Linked DNA regions of Oryctolagus cuniculus. The protein of the gene in region 2 interacts with the protein of the main gene of each other region in a biochemical or structural test. Links are inferred from orthologs where the notes say so. Each region holds a gene or a part of one and is shown on either strand. Other genes may lie near its edges.

Region 1 (5,627 bases), on a different chromosome or scaffold from region 2:
TGAGGGCCCCGCCATCACTGTGCCCACAGCACCCACCCCAGGTCACCCCGGGGCTGAGGGCCCCGCCATCACCGTGCCCACAGCACCCACCCCAGGTCACCCCGGGGCTGAGGGCCCCGCCATCACCGTGCCCACAGCACCCACCCCAGGTCACCCCGGGGCTGAGGGCCCCGCCATCACCGTGCCCACAGCACCCACCCCAGGTCACCCCGGGGCTGAGGGCCCCGCCATCACCGTACCCACAGCACCCACCCCGGGTCACCCCAGGCCGTGAGGGCCCCGCCATCACTGTGCCCACAGCACCCACCCCGGGTCACCCCGGGGCTGAGGGCCCCGCCATCACCGTGCCCACAGCACCCACCCCAGGTCACCCCGGGGCTGAGGGCCCCGCCATCACTGTGCCCACAGCACCCACCCCGGGTCACCCCGGGGCTGAGGGCCCCGCCATCACTGTGCCCACAGCACCCACCCCGGGTCACCCCGGGGCTGAGGGCCCCGCCATCACCGTGCCCACAGCACCCACCCCGGGTCACCCGCCGGGTCCCCGGCACACGCGGGGCGCCAGCATCTGGCTGCAGTCCCGCGACACCGCTCAGCCCCACGCGGGCTCAGAGAAACCGGACGCGGCGTGACCTCCGTCTGATGGAGATGGAGTCACTCGCCCGGGGTCCCACGGCTTACTCGTGACAGGGCCAGGCTCAGAGCCAGGCTGCTGGGGGGGGCTTCCGGGGCGAGGCGAGAAGGCCGCTCTCCAGGGGCACCAGCCACGCCCCCTCCCCCAGCCTCAGCTCAGGCCTCCGATTCCGTGGCTGAACCACTAGCCCCTCGCCTCCAAGGAAGACGCCCCGGAGCTCGGCCTGTGCCAGCCCCCGGCAGGAGCTGGCATGAGGCTCAGGGCGGGTCACACGGGGCCACAGCAAGCGGCCGCGGCTCCGGGGACAGGAGGGCCCGGGACCAGCCCCCGCCTCCCCTCACCTCCATTATCGCTGACGCCGAGCCGCTCCCCAGAGGTCTCGGTCTCTGTGGGCGCGTCCTCGTCCTCCTCGTCGTCCTCCCTGGGCAGGGCAGGCCGGGGCGGGCTGGGTGCGGGACTGGGAGGCTGCGGCACTGGTGGGGGCGCTGGGGGCCGGGCGGCGGCGGCGGCCCTGTGGGCCAGGGCGATATCGTGCAGGCAGCGGCGGGCGGCCTCGGCCAGCGCCCCCCGGCCGTGGGCTGCATAGGCGCAGGGGCCCGGCCGGGGCGGCGGCGGCGGCGCCGCGGTCAGCAGCACCAGCTCCGTGCCTGTGCGGGCCCGGAAGCGCTCGGCGGCCCCCACCACAGCCTCCCACAGCTCCTCCGGGCGCCCCAACGCCATCCGCGCCCTGTGGGCCAGAGCAGGACACGGGGGAGCTGAGGCCTGGCTGCCGCAGCTCCCGTCCACCCTGGGAGCCCACCCAGGTCCCTCCCGCCAGCATCTGATGCCCAGCCGAGTGCCAGCTCTGCCTCCGCCGGGCCTGACTGTCTCCTGTGGGGTCCAGTGGGCGGGGCGGGGCAGGGGCGTTTGCAGTAAGCAGATGGGGACGTCCGGCCGCGGCTGCCACGGAGCCCACGTTCCTTGTGGCACAGCCGTCCCCCCCCACCGTGACCCCAGCCCCAGGAGGGTCCTCCCGCACCCAGGACAAGGGCCCGCCGCCCCCACGGGCAACACTGGGCTCTCCCCCCAGCTCCCCACAGCTCTTGGCCAAGCTTCCCATCGTCCTGTCGTGGACGCAACTTTCCCTCTTCCTAAACTCCTGCTTCGGGCCCCCACGTCTGAGCAACACCGTCTCCTCGCGGGGCCTGTGGTCGGCGTGACTGGGGGGCCGCTGTCTGCCCGAGGACCACCCACCGCTTCTTGCTTCCTGCAAGGCTGGAGCGGCCCCCAGAGGCCCTCCGCGATCCCCACGCCACCCAGGCCCTAGGCTCCCTGCACCGTGGGCCCTACACCAGAGCCCTGCGTCCCCGGGCAAGCAGCCTGCAGGTGCAGCTCAGGGGGTAGGGCCTGGCCCTGTCTCTGTGTCGTCAGGGACTGGGGGCTCAGGCCCAGCTGCGGTCCGGTCCGCGTGCCCCTCGCAGCTCGGCATCCCAGAGGCCAGTGGGCCTGGCCCTGCCCTGTGCCCAGACCCCTCAGCTGGGCGCTCACCGACAGCCAGCGGCCCGGGCCTGCCCAGCACCGGGGTTACAGCACCCATCGGTGAGCCGCTCATCCGGTGGGAAGTGAGGCACCGGCCCGAAGCCCCAGGGTGGGACCGGGCGGCGTGGGCAGGGGGCAGGGAGGGGCTCGCTGACCGACGGCGCGCGGCTCCCAACACCAGGGAACAGGACCTAACCGGGGGGAGCAGCGACCGAGGCCAGCAGCCAGGCCCGGGGTGCGGGCGGGGGCTCGCTCCCCAGGGAGGAGGGCGGCTGGCCAAGCCCCCCCAGCCTGTCAGACTGGAAGCGGCCCTAACAAGGGGCACGGGGCACCCCTGCGCGGGCGGACCTTGGGGCCGCCGCCCCGCGACCTCCCCGCAGCCCCCGGGGATCCAGGCCTGACCCGCTTTCCCAGCAAAACAGGAAATCCCGCCCAGGTGAGGGCCAGGGCCGGAAGTCCCGCCTTTGGGCGGGTGAGGGGCGCCCGGAGCCCCTCCAACAACCCCCTCGGGCCCGTGGACGGGGTCCGCGGCCCAGGTGAGGACCCCTGTGGGTCCGAACACCGGAAAATGAGGGTGTCCAGGCTCTGCCTAGAGTCAGACACGACGGTTCTCGCGGGCGACCCCCCTCCAGCGCTCAGCCACGTGCCGCTGGGCTAGCTCTGCCCTCTGACCTATGCAGGCCATACCACTCCCGTGAGCCGGGCGCCTTCCCGGAGCCCCTCTGCCTCAGGATGGCCAAATCCTCCCAACACCGCGGTTCACAACGCCGCCTCCACTCACGTGCCCGTAGCCAGCATGGCCGGACAGGCGCCGTCGCCGCCCTCAAAAGGCATGGCGGCGGGCTGATGTCACTTCCGGGTGACTCCCCTCCTTCCTTATCTGGCTCGCCCGAGACCAAGATGGCCGCCATGGGGTTCGATCCAGGTCCGTGGGAGTGTTGGCCACAGTGGCTAGCCCACAACAAAGATGGTGGAAATGGCTTACCAGCTTAAGCCGCTTCGAGGAGCCCTCAGAAAATATGGCCGCCCACACATGCTTACACGTGACCACGAGAAACTAGGGAGGGCGACCTAACGTTCCTCACCCTTTCTTCCACAAAGTGGAAGTGGTGCCCGTTAACGACATGGCAACCAGCCTGGCTTCACCTGCCCGTCGTGTATATGGGCTCTCTCTCCCTCTAACCTATACCCCCTCCGAAGCCAAGGCTGGCAAAGACCCAAGATGGCAGCATTTCTCGCTTCGGTTTGCCCAGCTTCAACATGGCGACTCGGCCCGCTTCGAGGGTGACTCAGGAATTCGCCTGGGACAGCTTCGGTCCTGGGGACGCCGACGGCTTGGTCCCGTCGTACCGAGTCCGTCGGCTCTCGGGCGACGCACAGCTCCTCTCACCTTCTTTGCCTTTATCCGTTCCTCTTCTCGAGCACCTCGCTACCTCGCCCCGCAGAGAGATGGAACTGCCCCGCATTAACATGGCCTCAGGCTAGCGGGTACGGCCGTGCCCTCGAGCAACATGGCACCCCTTGGCTTCGCTGCCAGTACACAGTACGAAGCAGGAAGGGGGCGGTTTCAGGGAGACACGGGGAGGAGCCCCGGATCCTCCCACTTGTTTACTTCGTGGTGAGCACCGTGACACTGAGCCTGCGCACTCTCGCTGGCCAGCTCCTCTGCTAGAGTCCGCGCCATGTGACTCGCATCCTTAGAATTCCACCCCCCCATGTCTAAAAGATGGTTTCACCCACTCCTGCTCTAGAATGCATAAGGGCGCAACCACCGTGCGGCCGTGCGGGGGAGTCTCCCTTCCGGATATGACACTACGTTGACCCGGAAAAGGAGGAGGCTGGGGCAGCAGGATCTCGACCGAGGCTATGGAGGGAGCCGGCTACAGGGTAAGCACTGGGGGCGCATTCACTCGCTTCTGCCTATGCGAAACGACCCTGTCCGGTGATCTGCCTCTCCCCAGGCCGTGCCAGGGAGGCCCGGAACTCCACAGAGCCGTGGGAACCGGGTGTGGGAAGACCCTACCCCCTAGCCCCGCCCCCGGACTCTGGGGACCTTGCGAGCTCCGCCCCTTTCGGAGCGCGCGGCCGCCCTGTGGGCGGGGCCTCCACGCGCTGACTTCCCTGGTCCGCCCCCATCGGCTCCCTTCGGGGCCCCGCCCCCGCCAGACTCGCCCCCATTGGCTCCCCCCGGACCCGCGCCCATTGGCTCCCGCCGGACCCGCCCCCACGGCTCCCTTCGGGGCCCCGCCCCCTCCAGACCCGCCCCCATTGGCTCCCGCCGGACCCGCCCCCATCGGCTCCCTTCGGGTCCCGCCCCCAGGTAGTGTTCGAGAAGGGCGGCGTGTACCTGCACACCAGCGCCAAGAAGCACCAGGACCCGGACTCGCTCATCGCGGGCGTCATCCGTGTGGTGGAGAAGGTGGGCCGGGTGGGGTGGACGCGGCGTGCAGGGGGCCCGGCCTTGAGGGCGTCCGTGGCTCCCACTCGGAGGGCTGAGCCCCGGGACCTGTCCCACTCCCCCCAGGACGGCGATGTGCTGCTGCACTGGGCCCCCGTGGAGGAGGCCGGAGACTGCACGCAGATCCTGTTCTCCAAGAAGGTCAGTGTGCTGCGCCCTGCGTGCCCTGGCACCGCGCGCTTCCCCGGGGTCCAGTCCCAGGCCTGCCCCTGGGGCCCGGGGATGCCTGGCCGGGGCCCGGGTCCTCTCGGCCTCTGGGTGAGGTGGGCCGAGGACGCCCGTTGGAGGAAGGAGAGCGGAGGCCCGCCCAGGTGCAGAGGCCACTGCCGCCGCTCGCCCCCTCCCTGCGCCCCTGTCCGGCCCCGGGCGCGAGGCTACTCAGCAGGAGGTCGGTGGGCTGTGAAGACCCGGCTTCGTAGTAAGCCCATTGGCCTCAGTGATGGCCGTCACCGCACCCAGGGGCCTCCCCCGGGGCCTGGCAGCTGCCTGAGGCTGGGCCACGTCTCTGTCGGGCTGTCTGTGAATGCCTTCTGGCGTGGACACGTTCCCCTTGTCCTGGGCACTCCCCGCGGAGCGGCGTTGCCGGGCCTGGGGAGGAAGTGCCGCACCGTGTCCCCAGCCCGGCCCTGTTGCACGTGGCCGCCTGCAGCGTGTGGGGCTCCGGCGTCCCTGTGCGCCCGCCGCCGCTGGTCCTCAGGTCTCTGGTGCTAGCTGTCCTCGTGGGCACGGGGTGTCTCCTGCCATGGCTGCCCAGCTGCCGCCTGGGCACCAGGAGCCTCGGGTTCCAGTCCTGGCTGTGCCGGGTAACCCTGGGCAAGTGCCATGCCACCTCTGTGCCTCAGTTTCCCTACGAGGCTGCGCTCATACCTAGAAGCCATGAGTCCGTGGCCCCTCACTCTCTTCCTCTGCCCCAAGGACTCCAGTGGGGGCTACTCCTGCGCCTCTGAGGAGGAGCCGACTTTTGACCCCGGCTATGAACCTGACTGGGCCGTCATCAGCACCGTGCGGCCGCGGGCC
Region 2 (4,891 bases):
TCCCCTGGAGGCAGGGGCCAGGTCCTGCATTTGCTTACGGACGAGGGAACAGAGAAGGAGGCAGGCAAGTAGCCCCACTGGCCATCACCAGGAGGCTGCGACAGAAGCCGAGTGAGGAGAACATCACAGGGGACGACTACGTATCCTTCCTGTGTCTCTGTGTTTAATTCCAAGGCAGGGCCACAGAGACACACACAGAGACAGAGCGCCAGAGAGAGCGAGGGAGAGGGAGGGAGAGCGAGAGGGAGCGAGAGAGAACAAGAGAGCGAGAGACAGAGAGAGAGCGAGAGACAGTGAGAGAGCGAGAGACAGAGAGCGAGCGAGAGAGAGCAAGAGAGCGAGAGAGAGCGAGAGAGCGAGAGAGAGAGAGAGCGAGAGACAGAGAGAGAGAGCGAGAGAGAGAGCGAGAGACAGAGAGCGAGCGAGAGAGCGAGAGAGAGCGAGAGCGAGCTCTTCTGGTTCACTCCCACCCAGATGTCTGCAGCTGCTGGGCTGGGTCAGGCCAAAGCCAGCAGCTGGCCGCTCCCCAGGCCCTCACGGCAGTGGTCCTGGCGGGGGAACCAGAAACGTACGTTCAGGGCACAAGACAGAAACCAGAGCCCCATCTCCAACGTCCATCTCCAGGGGCACTCTGGGAGGGAGGGGTGCGGGGCACAGCCGAGGGCCCTCAGCCTGCACTGCTGCCACCCGAGCACTGGGGCCTGCGGCGGCGCCCTGACCTCTGCCCACTCCGCGCCAGGGCAGAGGCACCCCCACTCGCACCGAGCGGCCCGGGGTAAAACCACCGGGCTGAGAACACAGCTCGGAGCGCGGGGCACTCGGGCAGGCGTGCGCACCGAGGGAGGGCGGCGGGAGGTTCCGGCGGCCGCCCGACCCGCTGCCCACTGGCCTGGCTGTGAGCCAGCGCCCGCCAAGTCCGTGGCCGAGCGGCCCCGCGCCCGCACCTCCTCTCCCCCACTCCCGCAGCTGTGGCGGGGCGAGGGCTGGGCGCTCACCGATGAGGGAGTTGAGCGAGGAGTAGGAGCTCACGCGGCGCATCTTGTCGATGGTCTCGAAGGACAGGATGTACTCCTCGTTCTCCGGGCTGCCCAGGGTGCTGCTGGCGCTGCTGCTGGTGCTGAGGTTGCCGGGGGAGAAGGCCACCGAGCTGCCCGCTGCAGGACACGGCGCAGGGCGTCGGGTGCGGCTCAGGCACCCCTGGCCTTGCTCTGTGGCTCCTGGCCTGCCTCAGATGTGTCTGCTCCTGCACAATGAGGCTCACCACACACACACCCACACACACACACACCCCTGTGCACAGGTGGGTACACACCACACACGTACACACACACACACCTGTGCACATGTAGGTACACACACACACGTACACACACACCTGTGAACAGGTGGGGACACACACACACACACACCTGTGCACAGGTGGGTACACACACACACCTGTGCACATGTGGGTACACACACACGTACATACACACACACCTGTGCACAGGTGGGGACACACACACGTACACACACACGTACACACACACACGTACATACACCCCTGCACACAGGTGGGGACACACACACCCTGCCTCTTCTCCTTTGAACCAAGCTCCATGGCATGGTTACTCCTGGGAGACCGGGGCGGGGGGGTGGCTGTCTGAGGGTGTGGCTGTCTGAGGGGGGCGGCTGTCTGAGGGTGGCGGCTGTCTGAGGGTGGCGGCTGTCTGAGGGTGTGGCTGTCTGAGGGGGGCGGCTGTCTGAGGGGGGCGGCTGTCTGAGGGGGGCGGCTGTCTGAGGGGGCGGCTGTCTGAGGGTGTGGCTGTCTGAGGGCCACCTGTCCCCAGCTGAGCCTGTGGTCTCTGCAGATGTGCAGCACTGGCCACTGTGAGCAGAACCCCGGCTTCCGTGCTACGCCCGCGGCTGGCCAACCACCACGGCTGCAGACAGGGCAGACCCAGCGGCACGGCACCCCCGAGGCCCTCAGGGCCCAGGCCGCGAGCCCGCCCGCGCCCCACCTTCTTCTGTCAGGCTCAGGTTCTGCAGAGATTTGTTGAGGCTCCTGGCTGTGGTGACTGCGCGGATGTTTCCATACGAGCTCACAGAACGGAGTCTGGGGGTGCACGGACTCTCCCGCACCGGGGTCACGCTGCCCCCCTCTAGGGCAGAAGGGAAAGCGTTAGCGCCAGGCTTCCACAGAAGGGCAGCGGCTGCTCTGGGCACAGCAGGTTCAGTCGCTGCCCGGTTCCAGTCCCGGCTGCTCCGCTTCCCATCCAGCTCCCTCCTAACGCGGCTGGGAAGCAGTGGAAGATGCCCCAAGCGCTTGGGCCCTGCACCCGCGCGGGAGACCCGGACAGAGCTCCAGGCTGCCGGCTCGCAGCCATCCGGGGAGTGAACCAGCAGATGGAAGATCTCTCCCTCTCTCTAGTTCTGACTTTCAAATAACTAAACAAATCTATTTTTAAAAATTTATTTAAAAGGCAGAGTTAAGATTTATTTATTTGAAAGTCAGAATTAGAGAGAGAGGAGACACAGAGACAGAGACAGATCTTCAATCCAGTGGCTCACTCCCCACATGGCCACAACAGCTGGGGATGGGCTGGGCTGGTGAAGCCAGGAGCTTCCTCCAGGTCTCCCACATGGGTGCAGGGGCCCAAGCACTTGGGCCATCTTCTGCTGCTTTCCCAGGCCACAGCAGAGAGCTGGGTGGGAAGTGGAGCAGCCGGGACTAGAACTGGCACCCATATGGGATGCTGGCACTGCAGGCTGTGGCTTAACCCACTGTGCCACAGCACTGGGCCCAGTAAATCTTTAAATAAAACCTAAAAAAAAAAAAAAAAGAAAAAGAAAAAAGGAAGGTCCTCGCCCTCTTGCCTCAGCTGCGGCGACAGGAGGTGGCGCCTGTTTCTGGGCAGGACCGAGCTGAGGGAAGGGGCTTTCAGCTCTGGGGCCATGGGCAGGAGCTGGAGAGCCCAGCAAGGCAGCTGCCTGTCTTTGAGAATGTTAAACGGCAAAAGGCCACACGGCACAGGACGGGGCCCACGCGGCCTCAGTGACATGGGCTGTGGGCTGCTGGGGCCTGGCCACTCTGGTTCTGCCACCCCTCCCAGGTCTGCTCCTGGTCACGAGCCCTCGGCAATGGCGGTGATGTCGGGGAGGGGTTGACCGTGTTCTCCAGAGAAAAGCAGACGCGAGAGGGGGAGCCTCCCGGCCTGACTCGGGGCCGCATGGGCCTGAGGTCACTCCTCGCCCACGTGCGTTCTCCACCCCCACGGCAGAAGTTCTGCCGTCCGCCACGATGTCCATGAATTTGATCGAAGGAAAGGGGGAGAGGAAGGGGGTCATTGCCCCCCACGGTTTGCTGAGCGCCTGAGACGGCCGGAGGCAGGCCTGAGGAACCCGACTGGAGCCCTGGCTCGGCGAGGGGCCTGGCCGGCAGCGGGAGGGGGCGGTGGCTTCTGCTGGAGCGGGGATGGGTTGCAGGGCTTCAAAAACAAGGGGGTACCTGTGGTCGCGGGGGAAGGCAGGGGGTAGTTCTTCTCCTCCTCCATGAACTGCAGGGCCACGGTGCAGAAGTTGCTTTCATACTGCACGACGAGATGACTCAGGGCCACCACCAGCTCCTGCCGAGAGGTACAGGGACGTGAACGCTCACCGGGCTGGTAACGAGACTCACGTCAGTGCCGGACGCCTGAGACGCCACAGAGAGAGAGAGGTCCAAACACAACCCTGCGACCAGTGTTAGAGACAGGACCCTTCCAGCTGTTGTGAGAGGGGGTGCAAAGCAAGGGGCCTCCCCGGGCTCCACACGCAGGGGCTGCAGAGCAGGGGGTGCCTCTCCGGGCTCCACATGCAGGGGCTGCAGAGCAGGGGGTGCCTCTCCAGGCCCCATGGGTGGCCTCATGCTTGCCGGAGTTGCACGCTGTTAGCCCTGGTGCAGGGAGTGGCCTTATGGGGCCTGAGCTCTCGTGGGGTGCGGGCTGCTTCCTGCCCGGCCTCTGGTCACACTGAACAGCGAGTGCCCGCCTCTGGCTCCCCTCCCCCACCCCGCCCAGTCAAGTCCTCCCATCTCCGGGCGGTTTGCAGAGGGAGGAGACGTTTAGCGAGGGTCTGGGGAACAGAGCAGCCTTCCCTTCCGACGCGTGTGAGCTCATCACGGTGCAATCTTCAACACGTGTCGTCAGGACACACGTGGCTCGGACCAAACACGTGGCTGGGGGCGGGGGCTGGCTCACAAGCACTTGCGAACGAAACCTAAAGTATCCAGACAGTTCTTACGTCTGTCCTAAGGCCGACAACAGCGAGTGAGCTTGGAACACGGGCGCTGGGCCCTGGGGCTGGGGTCACAAACAGCACCCCGGCCCACCCTGCCCGACAAGGTCGGTGCCCGCAAGTGTGCAACCTGCAGATTCTCCTCAGGACCAGCAAGGTCCGAGTAACAAGGGCGGCCCCGCGTGCCTGCCGGCTCCAGCCTGTCAGTGAGCTCCTAGACAGTGGAGGACAACGCGGCAGATGTGGGAGGAGGCGTAAACGCCACGTCACAAAGAGCCGCCGGCACACCCTTGCTCTCTGGCGCCGCGGCGCTGAGCTGGGGAGCGGGCGGGGATCTGTGCCCTGCCTGCCCTGCAGCCAGAGCCACACTCCAGTCCCCCCAGGCTGGGGTCCCCAGGGGCCCTGGCGAAGATCAGCCACGCGGCTGCAGGCCCACAGGGAGTTCTGCGGCTCTGGGCCTGCTGGGCCGCGGGGTTGGGCAGGAGCTGGACGCAGGTTCTCCGGGGAGCAGAACAAAGGCTCCCGCCCGGCCGCTGCGCAGCGACACCCCTCAGAGGCCCTTCCTGCGGCCCTCTGCCACTGCCGGCCGAGGACAGGCTTGCGGGGGCACCCGTGGAGCAGATCCGAGGGAACCCCA
Region 3 (5,579 bases), on a different chromosome or scaffold from region 2:
CGGTTTGCCACCTAAGCACGTTCCCAGGATTAGACTCTACAGCTCAAGCTGTCACTTGCTCCTATTATCTGCCTGTCAAAAACACACCCACTCTTAAAGGCCCAACTCAAACCCCATTCTTCATCTTTATAGCTGGTAGCTTTGGGATCCGCAAGGAGGGAAGGCCTAGACTTCCGGGAATGGAGAGGCCTACTTCCGGGGAAGAAAGTCCTTGTCAAGATCCCTGCAGGTGCCTAAAGGTCAACCAATGAGGATCAGACCCGCCTCAACCTTTAACTCCCATGCCCTGAATCTATAAAAGGAGCTCTCCCAATCTTTGACGCGCGACTTCCCCGGCCCCCACTCTGTTGGGACCGGGGAACCTCGCCCGGGAGCGGAACCCCAATAAAAGCCTGTGAATTAATTGATTCGTCTGCCTGGGAAGATTTGTTGTGCACCTGGACACCTTACAATAGCCTCCACATAATGATCAGAGAAAGGCTCTGACTAAAATAATCAGAATTACTAAGAAACTAATTCAAAAATTGAAAAAAAAAAAAACTTGCAAATAGCCAAAACTCTAAGTATTTCTAGAATCACTGTTGTTTTTTTAAATCGCTATTCAATATTAACATTTTAGGGCCGGTGCCGCGGCTCAGTAGGCTAATCCTACGCCTTGCGGCCCTAGCACACCGGGTTCTAGTCCCGGTCGGGGCGCCAGATTCTGTCCCGGTTGCCCCTCTTCCAGGCCAGCTCTCTGCTGTGGCCCGGGAGTGCAGTGGAGGATGGCCCAAGTGCTTGGGCCCTGCACCCCACGGGAGACCAGGAGAGGCACCTGGCTTCGGATTAGCGCAGTGCACCGGCCGTGGTGCGCCGGCCACGGCAGCCATTGGAGGGTGAACCAATGGCAAAAAGGAAGACCTTTCTCTCTGTCTCTCTCTCTCTCTCACTGTCCACTCTGCCTGTCAAAAAAAAAAATAAATAAATAAATAAAAAATTTAACCACGAAGTCCTCCATAACCCCAGCACTGTATTTATCAAAAGCCAAACAATGTGCAGTATAGATTAACGGCAGGTTGTATCACCAACTTGCAATAATCTGTAATCTGGGCCCACGATTCAAATGTCAATTATATTTGTTTTATTTCAAAAGAGAAAATTACAGCAAGAGAAGTTAGCACTTCAACTGGAGACAGAGGTTGGATTAGTCTACAGCAGTGACAGAAACAGCTTCTAAATCGACATCACCCTCAGATTAAAGAAAAAAATCTCATCAGCTAAGGGAAAAAAATGCTTTCAACTGACATATCCTAAAGATTTTTTTTCAGTTCATATTTTATATAATTAAAGGGGGGAGGGGTGTCAAAGGGCATGACGGGCAATCCTGAGCCTCTCATGAGATAGTCACTGGTGTACTCACCAGCAGGCATGACAACAATAACACGTGTGACACAGAAGGGATACCAGGGGCAGTACTTTCTTTATTTTTTAAATTATTTTAATTTTTTGACAGGCAGAGTGGACAGTGAGAGAGAGAGACAGAGAGAAAGGTCTTCTTTTTGCCGTTGGTTCACCCTCCAATGGCCGGCGCGGCCGGCGCACCGCGCTGATCTGATGGCAGGAGCCAGGTGCTTCTCCTGGTCTCCCATGGGGTGCAGGGCCCAAGCACTTGGGCCATCCTCCACTGCACTCCCGGGCCACAGCAGAGAGTTGACCTGGAAGAGGGGCAACTGGGACAGAATCCGGTGCCCCGACCGGGACTAGAACCTGGGGTGCCGGTACCGCAGGTGGAGGATTAGCCTAGTGAGCCGTGGCGCCGGCCTCCAGTACTTTTTCAGAGCCTAATTTCTTTCAGGCCTGACCTAATTTCTCTTTTCACTTCTTAGCTGGGGTGGGGGTGGGGGTGGGGGTGGGGGTGGGGGGAAGTCATGCTAATTTTCACAGCTGTATACTGGGGAGCAATTCGCTCCTAAAGCAAACGAAAACATGCAGGATTCAATTATTCAAAAATAATTCCAACTACTTCTATCTAGTCAAGGTGATTGGTAAAGCAAGTGCTCCATGGCATTTCTGAAGTCATCATCACTCAGATTTGCATACGTTTCTTAAACAGACTCGCACACAGCAGTAAAAGAGGCTAAAAATCCCGAAATTATCACTGATGCTATTTTAAGGGACGCTGGGTGTACCACAAAGATCTCAGGCTTCAATCTCAAGACTGACACTTTCTTCTATGACCTTAGAAAATTGGCACCTAACAGAGGGATATTACCAGCTTTTCCTTTGGGGTGGGGTGGGGGGGCTGTTCAAATAAAATACGGATGTGGCACACAGTAAGGGGCACGAAGCAGTCCACAAATTAGTGCTCAGTTACTTCATTCATCAGGAAAAGACACACTCATGAGACTGAGAAGCAGGAGAATCTACTTCTGCACGAAGCGCCTCTTCCGAGGGAGCCTTGCGTGTGACTGTGCAAAAAAAGTCCCCGAAAGGCGGAATGTATACACTGACCGCTAAAATACCAACAGCAAAACCCTCGGTCCTCGGGCCAACACGACAGGATGCATCTATACTGGTTAGGAGCTCACCTGAGAGGAGGGAAGAGAGGGAGAGGAAAAAAAAAAAAAAAAAAAGAGCAAATTGGGCCCAACTGCAAGCAGATTTAATAAACCAAGAGGGATGCCGGCTGCTTATTCCTGAAACGCACGGTAACACATGCATGCCCGTTTAAACATTAAAAAAAAAAAAAAAACTGCAAGACGAATTCTTCATACAAGCCACACTGCCGACCTGGGTGCTTTTTCGGAAGGCCTGCTCAGGCGAGCACCAGCTAACGACCGCTGAGGGACAGACACTTCACGCACAGCCGGCCGCCGTTCCGCACACACGCAGGGTCCAACCGCGTCCAAGCCCAGGGCCATGCATCTGACGGCATTCCCGGCTTCGCGAGCACCCCGGGGCGCGACGGATGCTTCCGTTCCCCTCCTGGGCTGGGGATCGGGAATCTGGGCTTGCAATCTACATTTCTGAAATCTTGGGGGGTGGGGTGGAGGAGCCGGGCTGGAAACCCAGCGGCTATCCGGTGCAGGGCGTCCGCGGGTCCCGGCCTCCGCCCCCCTGCGGCGAGCGAGGGCCCGGCCCGGGACCGGCCACCGGCCACGAGCAGCGACATCTTAAACCTCGAGCCGGGGCCCTGCCCGAGGGAGCCCGGGACTGGGGTCGACCGCTGCGCGGGAGGCCGAGACGCGGGCGAGGCCGCGGCGCATCCGCTGCAGCCCCGGGCGGGGGAGCGGGCCAGGCCTGCGGGGCGGGCGCCGACACTCACCACACCATGCCGTAGGCGCCCTCGCCGATGTACGAGAGGTTGGTGTAGCGCGGCCCCACGTCGAACACCTGCCCGCGGACCATCTCCGGGCCCGTGCCCGCCGCCGCCGCCGCCGCCATGTTGGCTGCCGGGCCGCCGCCGCCGCGCTGGGCTCGACGCTCCGCGGCCGCCGCTCCGCTCCCGCCGCGCTTCCCCAAGGGACCGCGCCGCCGTCCGTGCAGCCGCCGCAGCTGACCGCCAAAGAGGCAGGACGGCGCCGCTTTCGGGGAAGCGGAGAGCCGACGTCCGCTCGCCTCGACTGCCCGTCTCACTTACTGACTGACGGGCGGGCCCGCGGGCGGAGGGAGGGGCGCGCGCCGAGCAGGGCGCCGGGGCGGGGCCGAGCAGCGTGCTCGAGGATTGGCTGCCTGCGGCTGGGGGCGGGGCCGCGCGGGCCGGCGGAAGCGGCGAGCTCAGGGCGGAGCGCTGCGGCGGCGGCGGCGGCGGCGGCGGCGGCTGCGGAGGAGGCGCCGAAGGGCGCGGTCACGTGCGTTCGCTGGTGAGTCGGCGCGGGAGGCGGCTGAGGAGACGCTGAGAGCGGAATGGGGAGACGGGGCGTCACGGGGCTGACCCTGAGGGGCCGGGGCTGGGGCCGGGCGGCGAGCTCGGGCAGTGCGGGGGAAGACGAACGACGCTGCACACGTGGGCTTCGGGCCCTCTGGGGCCCAAACGCTCTGAACAACTTAGGAGGTGTGGAGATTATGTTAGGAACCAGAATACGTGGTCCAGACCGAAGAAGAGATTTGAGTACTGAGAACGTGTGAGACAGGAGAGGCCGAGTGGGTCTGCCCTTAGATCCGCCCTCGTAGAAGATAACTTCCGGAGAGAGGTTTCTCAGGCTGAGGTACTTTCTATGGAGAAATGTCAAGCAGAGTAAGGGGCAGAGAGGAGTGGGTTGAGACACCTGAGGAAGACTCGAGTTGCCACTGTGAGACCGAGACCCATGTTAGGCCGGATGGACATGAGCTTTGAGACGTAGAACGTACTGAGCTGGAAACACCAGGGTGGAATCGCTAAAACCAATAGTCACAGACACATGAGAGGCTGAAAATTAAAAAACTGCAATCTTGAAGCAGACGGATGCCAAGGAAGCTCAGGCCACGCGGTGGAAGATGGGCCAGCCACCGCCTCGGAACCATTTCCTTGCCGTCTGCAGAGGGAAGTGAGAAGGCAGACTCCCCTCATAGCCTTCAGAGCTGCTAATTCGAGACGGCTGGAAATCAATAAAGATTAGCCAGTCAGTCTGGCGCGTTAAAAGCCCTGTGGGAGAGAAAAAAAATAGTGTTACATAAGGGGAAAAAAGTGCTACACCCAAAAGTGAGTTCAAATGTTAGTCCGTGAAGCAGAACCCAATTTTGAAAACACCTAATTCTTATTCTTGATTCTGAAAGGACATTGCATCTCTTTTTAAAAACAGGATGATGAGGCCGGCGCCGCGGCTCAGTAGGCTAATCCTCCACCTTGCGGCGCCGGCACACCGGGTTCTAGTCCCGGTCGGGGCGCCGGATTCTGTCCCGGTTGCCCCTCTTCCAGGCCAGCCCTCTGCTGTGGCCAGGGAGTGCAGTGGAGGATGGCCCAGGTGCTTGGGCCCTGCACCCCATAGGAGACCAGGAAAAGCACCTGGCTCCTGGCTCCTGCCATCGGATCAGCGCGGTGCGCCGGCCGCAGCGCGCCGGCCGCGGCGGCCATTGGAGGGTGAACCAACGGCAAAGGAAGACCTTTCTCTCTGTCTCTCTCTCTCACTGTCCACTCTGCCTGTCAAAAAAAAAAAAAAAAAAAAAAAAAAAAAAAAAAAAAAAAAAAAAAAACAGGATGATGAGGGACTGGCATTGTGGCACAGCAGGTAAAGCTGCCGACTGCAGTGCCAGCACCCCAAGTGGGCACTGGTTTGTATCCAAGCTGCTCCACTTCTGATCAGGCTCCCTGCTAACAGCCTGGGAGTAGCAGTGGAAAGTGGCCCAACACCTGCCACCGACGTGGGAGACTAGGAAGAAGCTTCTGGTTCCTGGCTTTGGCCTGGCCCAGCTGTGGCTGTTGCAGCCATCTGGGAAGTGAAACAGTGGATGGAAGATCTGTGTGTGTATGTGTAACTCTTGACTTTCAAATAAATGAATGAATCCTTAAAAAAAAGGCTGAAGTAAATGGAGAGTATCATGAAATCAAAATCACAATAACCAAGACAAAAGCAATGGTTGAAGGAGTTATAAGAAGGCTTGATAATACAAAAGGGCAAATC
Region 4 (4,891 bases), about 34 Mb from region 2:
CCCACCCCCTGCTGTTGCAGGCATTTGAGGAGTGTGAACCAGAAGATAGAAGATCTCTCTGTCTCTGTCTCTGTCTCTCCTTTTGAGGGTCTGTGCCACATTGCCCTTTAAATAAATTAATTAAAAACAAAAGACAGTCCCTAAGACATAAAAACAATCCTAAAGCATACATTTTCAAACTAAGTCCCCAGGTCTCTATTTTTAGCAGAATTCTGATTCCTCTGTGAAACTTTTAAGTTTAAAAACTAGAAATAATTTGGAATTTACATCTACAACCTTGAAAGTGTGTGTGGATTCCAGACTTGAGGTTTAAAAAAAATAAAAAAACTTGACTGAAATCTAACATTTTACCTATAGGCAGAAAAATGTTAATATAAATTAAACTATCTTCAATAACTTTAGTGAATGCTAATATTCCGTATTTTCAGAACCCTTAAAAAACTGAATGAACCTGGCAGAGGCCTTGTAAAAAGAATGGCACAAATACATATCAAAATAATGATAATAAAGGATTATATACACTGAATAATCTTAGAACCCGAAAGTCCACAATAAGGTAAATAAATGAATAAATTTTTTAAATGGAGAAGTGAAAGTTCTTCATAACAGTAGAGTGCTATGTGATAAATGAAGGGGGCAAAATAAAATAGGAAACATCATTTGGCAAACATCACAATTACTGCAGGCAAGAATCAATGGATACCAAAACTGAATATGAAAGCTTGATGAAAGATGAAATATTTATTGTTAAAAGATGCTTATTGATTACAAAGAGAAAACTCTACCTGGAAAAAAAAAAAAAAAAAACAGAAGACACCAATCTTATACACATGACCAAAGTGACTTTTACCACTAACGGGACAAAGATATCAATGTCATGTATCTCCTGATCTCAGGCACTGAGGACACAACGTCACTTCAATAGTCCTGCCAAAACACATACCTTGAATCCAATCCTAAAGAACTGGATAAACCTAAATTGAGGCATTCCACAAAACCACCAGCCTGTACTCTTCAAGATTACCAACATCGTTAAAGAAAAAGAAAGACTGAAGTACTATTCAGATTAAAGATTAAAAGAAACTAAGGAGAGAGATTACTGTATCAATGTTAATTCCCCATTTTAGGTAAATTAGTAGTTATATAAGACACTGCCCTTTTTTTTAGAAAATAAACCCTGCAGTTTTAGGGATGAAGGCAAATCATGTCTGTAATACTCTCAAACAGTTCAAAAAAATAAAAAAAAAAAAATCACACATCTGTATACATACAGGTATATGTGTGTGTATATATGTGCATTTATACAGATACATATAGAACGATGTATAAACTAATCATATATGGTAAAATGATAGTATTTAGGGACTCCAGGTGACAAAATTAAGGGAATTCTTTTTTTAAAAGTATTTGTTTTATTTAAGAGACAGAGTGAGTTAAAAAAAAAAATAGAGGAAGAGAGAACTCTCATCTTCTACTGTCTCATTCCTCAAATGTAATGGGTAACAGGGCTAAGCAGTAGGGCGGGAGCAGGTGGTGAGCCAGGGACTCAATCCAGATTTCCCATTTGGGTGGCAAGAACCCGATTACTCCAGCCATCACTACTGCCTCCCAGGCTCTGTACTAGCAGGAAGGTGGAATTAGGAGCCAGACCCAGCCATTCCATCTGAGATATGGGCCTCCTAATCACTGCTTACCTGCTCTGTGTAAGTCTGAAATAATGTCAAAATAAAGTTACAAGAAGGGCAGGTGCTTAGCTTAGTTGTTAAGACTAGTTAAGATGCTCATGTCTCACAATGATATACTTGGGCTGAATGCTCAGCTCTGGTTCCTAACTCTTAGCTTCCTACTAATCCAGGCCCTGGGAGACAGTGATGATGGTTCAAGTAATTATGTTCCTGCCACTCAGGTGAGAAACCTGGATAGAGTTTCAGGCTCCTGGCTTCAAGCTCTTCCCAGAATATTATAAGAATTTAGGAAGTGAACTAGTAGATGAGAGTACTCACATTTGCTCACACTCACTCTTGCTGGCTCTCTGCCTCTCAGATAAAGAACCATTGTGAAAAGCCATACGAAAAAAATGGCAATAGCCACTTTTTAAAAGTTGCTAGGGGGAGCTAGTGTTGTGGTATAGAAGGTAAAGCTGTCACCTGCAGTACCCACATACCATATGGGCGCAGGATCAAGACATTGCTGCTCCACTTCCAATCCAGCTCTCTGCTATGGTCTGGGAAAGCAGTGGAGGATGGCCCAAGTCCTTGAGCTCCTATGCCCATGTGAGAGACCCAGAGGAGGCTCCTGGCTCATTGCTTCTGATCAGCCCAGCTCCAGCCATTCAGCTATTAGGGGAGTGGACCAGTGGATGGAGGACTTTTCTCTTTTTGTCTCTTCCTCTCTTTATGACTCTGCCACTCAAATAAATAAAGAAAATATTAAAGAAAAAAAAAGTTGCTAGGGTTCGCTGTTGTAGTGCAAAGAGTTAAGCAGCCATCTGCATGCCAGCATCTCATATGGATGCTAGTTTGAGTTTTAGCTGCTCTACTTCTGATCCAGCTCCCTGCTAATGTGCCTGGGAAGGCAGCAGAGGATGGCCCATGTCCTTGGGTCCCTGCACCCACATAGGGTGACCTGGAAGAAGCTCCTGGCTCCTGGCTTTGGCATGGCCCAGCCCTGGCTGTTGTGGACATTTGGAGAGTGAACCAGCAGACAGAATCTCTCTCTCCCTCTTTCTCTCTCTCCCTCTCTCTGTAATTCTGCCTTTCAAATAAATAAACCTTTAAAAAAAAGTTGCTAAATTCTGCAGCTTTTGTTCCAAGTTCCAAATTATTGCAAAAATCTGTTTCTTAGAAAACCGAAGTGTATTTGCTGGAATCAGACACCTATGCTCTAGAAATGATATGTGAAGCAAAAAGTTCCTAGGTGATGGTAGGCCTTGGAAACCAGATGATTTCCAATGCAAACTGTATACTCTGTCACTAAGGCTACACTGCACTAAAAATTTTTTCTATTTATGGGTCTAGTATTGTGGCATAGGTTAAGTCACCACCTGCTACACCAGCATCCCATATGAGCTCCAGTTCCTGTCCCAGCCATCCCACTTCCAATCCAGCTCTCTGCTAATATGCCTAGGAAAGCAATGGAAGATGGTCCAAGGGCATGGCCTCCTGCCACCCATGCAGGAGACCCTGGCTTTGGTCAGGACCAGGCTATTGCAGCCATCTGGGGAGAGAACCAGGAGATGGAAGATCTCTCTCTCTCTACCATTCAAATAAATAAATAAACCTTTAAAAAATTTCTATTTAAAGATGCAACTTTAAAAATATTCAGTATTTTAAAACAATATTCTCAGTAAGTTCTTCCATTTCAGTTTAGAAACGAATACAGTAATGGTTCATCTGAATTATACAACCCTATCCTTGTACAATTTGACAGCTCTGTATCAATTAGGTGTTTTTTTTTTTGTTTAGTGACTGATTATAAAGAGATTAAAATAAAATTTCACAGATGGGAAAACACTGAACTTTTAAGTTTCTTTTATTTCATCTGTGTGCAAAATAGAAACATCTGGTCACATCTGAGTTCTTCACTTTAATGTATTCATCAATTTCAAGAACTATTTGATCCCAATGAGATAAAGCATTTTTCCACTGGAAAATAAAGTTTTGACTCAGTTTCTGGAACAACTGCAAATAATTATACCAAACTGTGTACTGACCACTGAGATACTCAAGGATGAGGTAGAGTTTTCCACCGGTCTGAAAGGCATAAATTAAATCCACAATGAAGGGATGCTTTACTTCCTCCAGAATATTCCGTTCTGCTTTTGTATGAGCTGTATCCTTAGCATTTCTTACTATCATTGCCTAAAGGAAAAGAGATGATCTATAAGAACAAAATAGTGAACATTTTAATACTATAGTAACTGGAATATCTATATTGTGCTTGTCTTGTCAATACAGAATAGTTCCCACTAGAAACTCTGATGAAATAATGGAATACATTCATTTCTTATACGTATTTGTACTATTTGAATTTTTTTGCAGTGAATAGATAAATGAAAACCTACAGATACAACATTTTAAGAATCTGTAAACAAATCAAGTTTAAGTTAAGTGTCTACTATGCTCCAGGCTCTGTGCCAACAAAGCAGAACTAACACAAGAAATGCCTTGTCTATAGGAGCCCAAAGTCTCAGAGGAAAAAGACAAGTCAATAGAGGTAAGCACAAGGCACTGTGGGTGAATGGGGGATTCCATTTGACCTAAAAAGAAGTCTTTCTGGACGTGGTGCTACCTAAGGTGCACCATGAAAAATTATGCAGATGTTAAACAAAAGCAGAAGGTTAAACAAAAGGCATTCCAATGTCAATGAAGCCTGGGAGAACAGGACATGTCTGAGGAGTCTCCCAGGATTTCAGTATGGTTATGGTGGTTAGAAATTAGGCTGGAAAAATCGCCTTCTATTTCCTGGCCATCTTGGCAAATATGTTGGAAAGAAGAAATGCTCAGATAAGTGAAATGAATAATCTTTGAGTTTAAGAACAACAGTTCTAGCAGCAGTGTGGAGTTTCAGAGAAGAAATGCAATTACAACAGTAAACTAAACTCCTCTTGAGACTTGTAACTAAGAAAATGAAAGCACAAAGAAAATGTTAATTACTGACTTACTAGCTATAAGAAGAATGATGATACTCTGATTTCTCCTTAAGTAATCAAACAATGCTATCCTTCAACAACATGAAATGTAAGAAAAAATTTTGGGGAGAAAAGATGAATTATTTTGGACATGCCTAAGTCTAAGTTCCAGGAAGTTACCCCAATGTACACACCTAGTATTATGAAAAGCAAATACACAGGGTTATTATTTGCAACATTATCTGTGGGGCTGGCACCATG

What was found.
Region 1: the proteins of RPTOR (region 2) and AKT1S1 interact in a biophysical measurement, tested with the Homo sapiens proteins (2 studies listed by BioGRID and IntAct, with this or other methods). The link is inferred for Oryctolagus cuniculus from reciprocal best matches to the Homo sapiens genes RPTOR and AKT1S1.
Region 3: of the proteins of RPTOR (region 2) and MAPK1, one has a biochemical effect on the other in vitro, tested with the Homo sapiens proteins (2 studies listed by BioGRID, with this or other methods). The link is inferred for Oryctolagus cuniculus from reciprocal best matches to the Homo sapiens genes RPTOR and MAPK1.
Region 4: of the proteins of RPTOR (region 2) and RPS6KB1, one has a biochemical effect on the other in vitro, tested with the Homo sapiens proteins (6 studies listed by BioGRID and IntAct, with this or other methods). The link is inferred for Oryctolagus cuniculus from reciprocal best matches to the Homo sapiens genes RPTOR and RPS6KB1.

Annotation. Positions count from the first base shown.
Region 1 is NC_091449.1:7,694,781-7,700,407, reverse strand, and holds the start of AKT1S1 (proline-rich AKT1 substrate 1), read right to left. Parts: upstream 3,531-5,627; 5' UTR 3,064-3,530; coding exon 2,825-3,063; exon of another isoform or gene 2,162-2,824; intron 1,362-2,161; coding exon 976-1,361; intron 1-975. Other genes in the region: TBC1D17 (TBC1 domain family member 17), read left to right, coding at 4,019-4,039, 4,473-4,571, 4,677-4,751, 5,526-5,627. UniProt on the Homo sapiens protein: Negative regulator of the mechanistic target of rapamycin complex 1 (mTORC1), an evolutionarily conserved central nutrient sensor that stimulates anabolic reactions and macromolecule biosynthesis to promote cellular biomass generation and growth.
Region 2 is NC_091448.1:1,534,721-1,539,611, forward strand, and holds part of RPTOR (regulatory-associated protein of mTOR), read right to left. Parts: intron 3,606-4,891; coding exon 3,488-3,605; intron 2,142-3,487; coding exon 2,001-2,141; intron 1,155-2,000; coding exon 996-1,154; intron 1-995. UniProt on the Homo sapiens protein: Component of the mechanistic target of rapamycin complex 1 (mTORC1), an evolutionarily conserved central nutrient sensor that stimulates anabolic reactions and macromolecule biosynthesis to promote cellular biomass generation and growth.
Region 3 is NC_091452.1:28,975,735-28,981,313, reverse strand, and holds the start of MAPK1 (mitogen-activated protein kinase 1), read right to left. Parts: upstream 3,563-5,579; 5' UTR 3,424-3,562; coding exon 3,305-3,423; intron 1-3,304. UniProt on the Homo sapiens protein: Serine/threonine kinase which acts as an essential component of the MAP kinase signal transduction pathway. MAPK1/ERK2 and MAPK3/ERK1 are the 2 MAPKs which play an important role in the MAPK/ERK cascade.
Region 4 is NC_091448.1:35,203,250-35,208,140, reverse strand, and holds part of RPS6KB1 (ribosomal protein S6 kinase beta-1), read right to left. Parts: intron 3,861-4,891; coding exon 3,713-3,860; intron 1-3,712. UniProt on the Homo sapiens protein: Serine/threonine-protein kinase that acts downstream of mTOR signaling in response to growth factors and nutrients to promote cell proliferation, cell growth and cell cycle progression.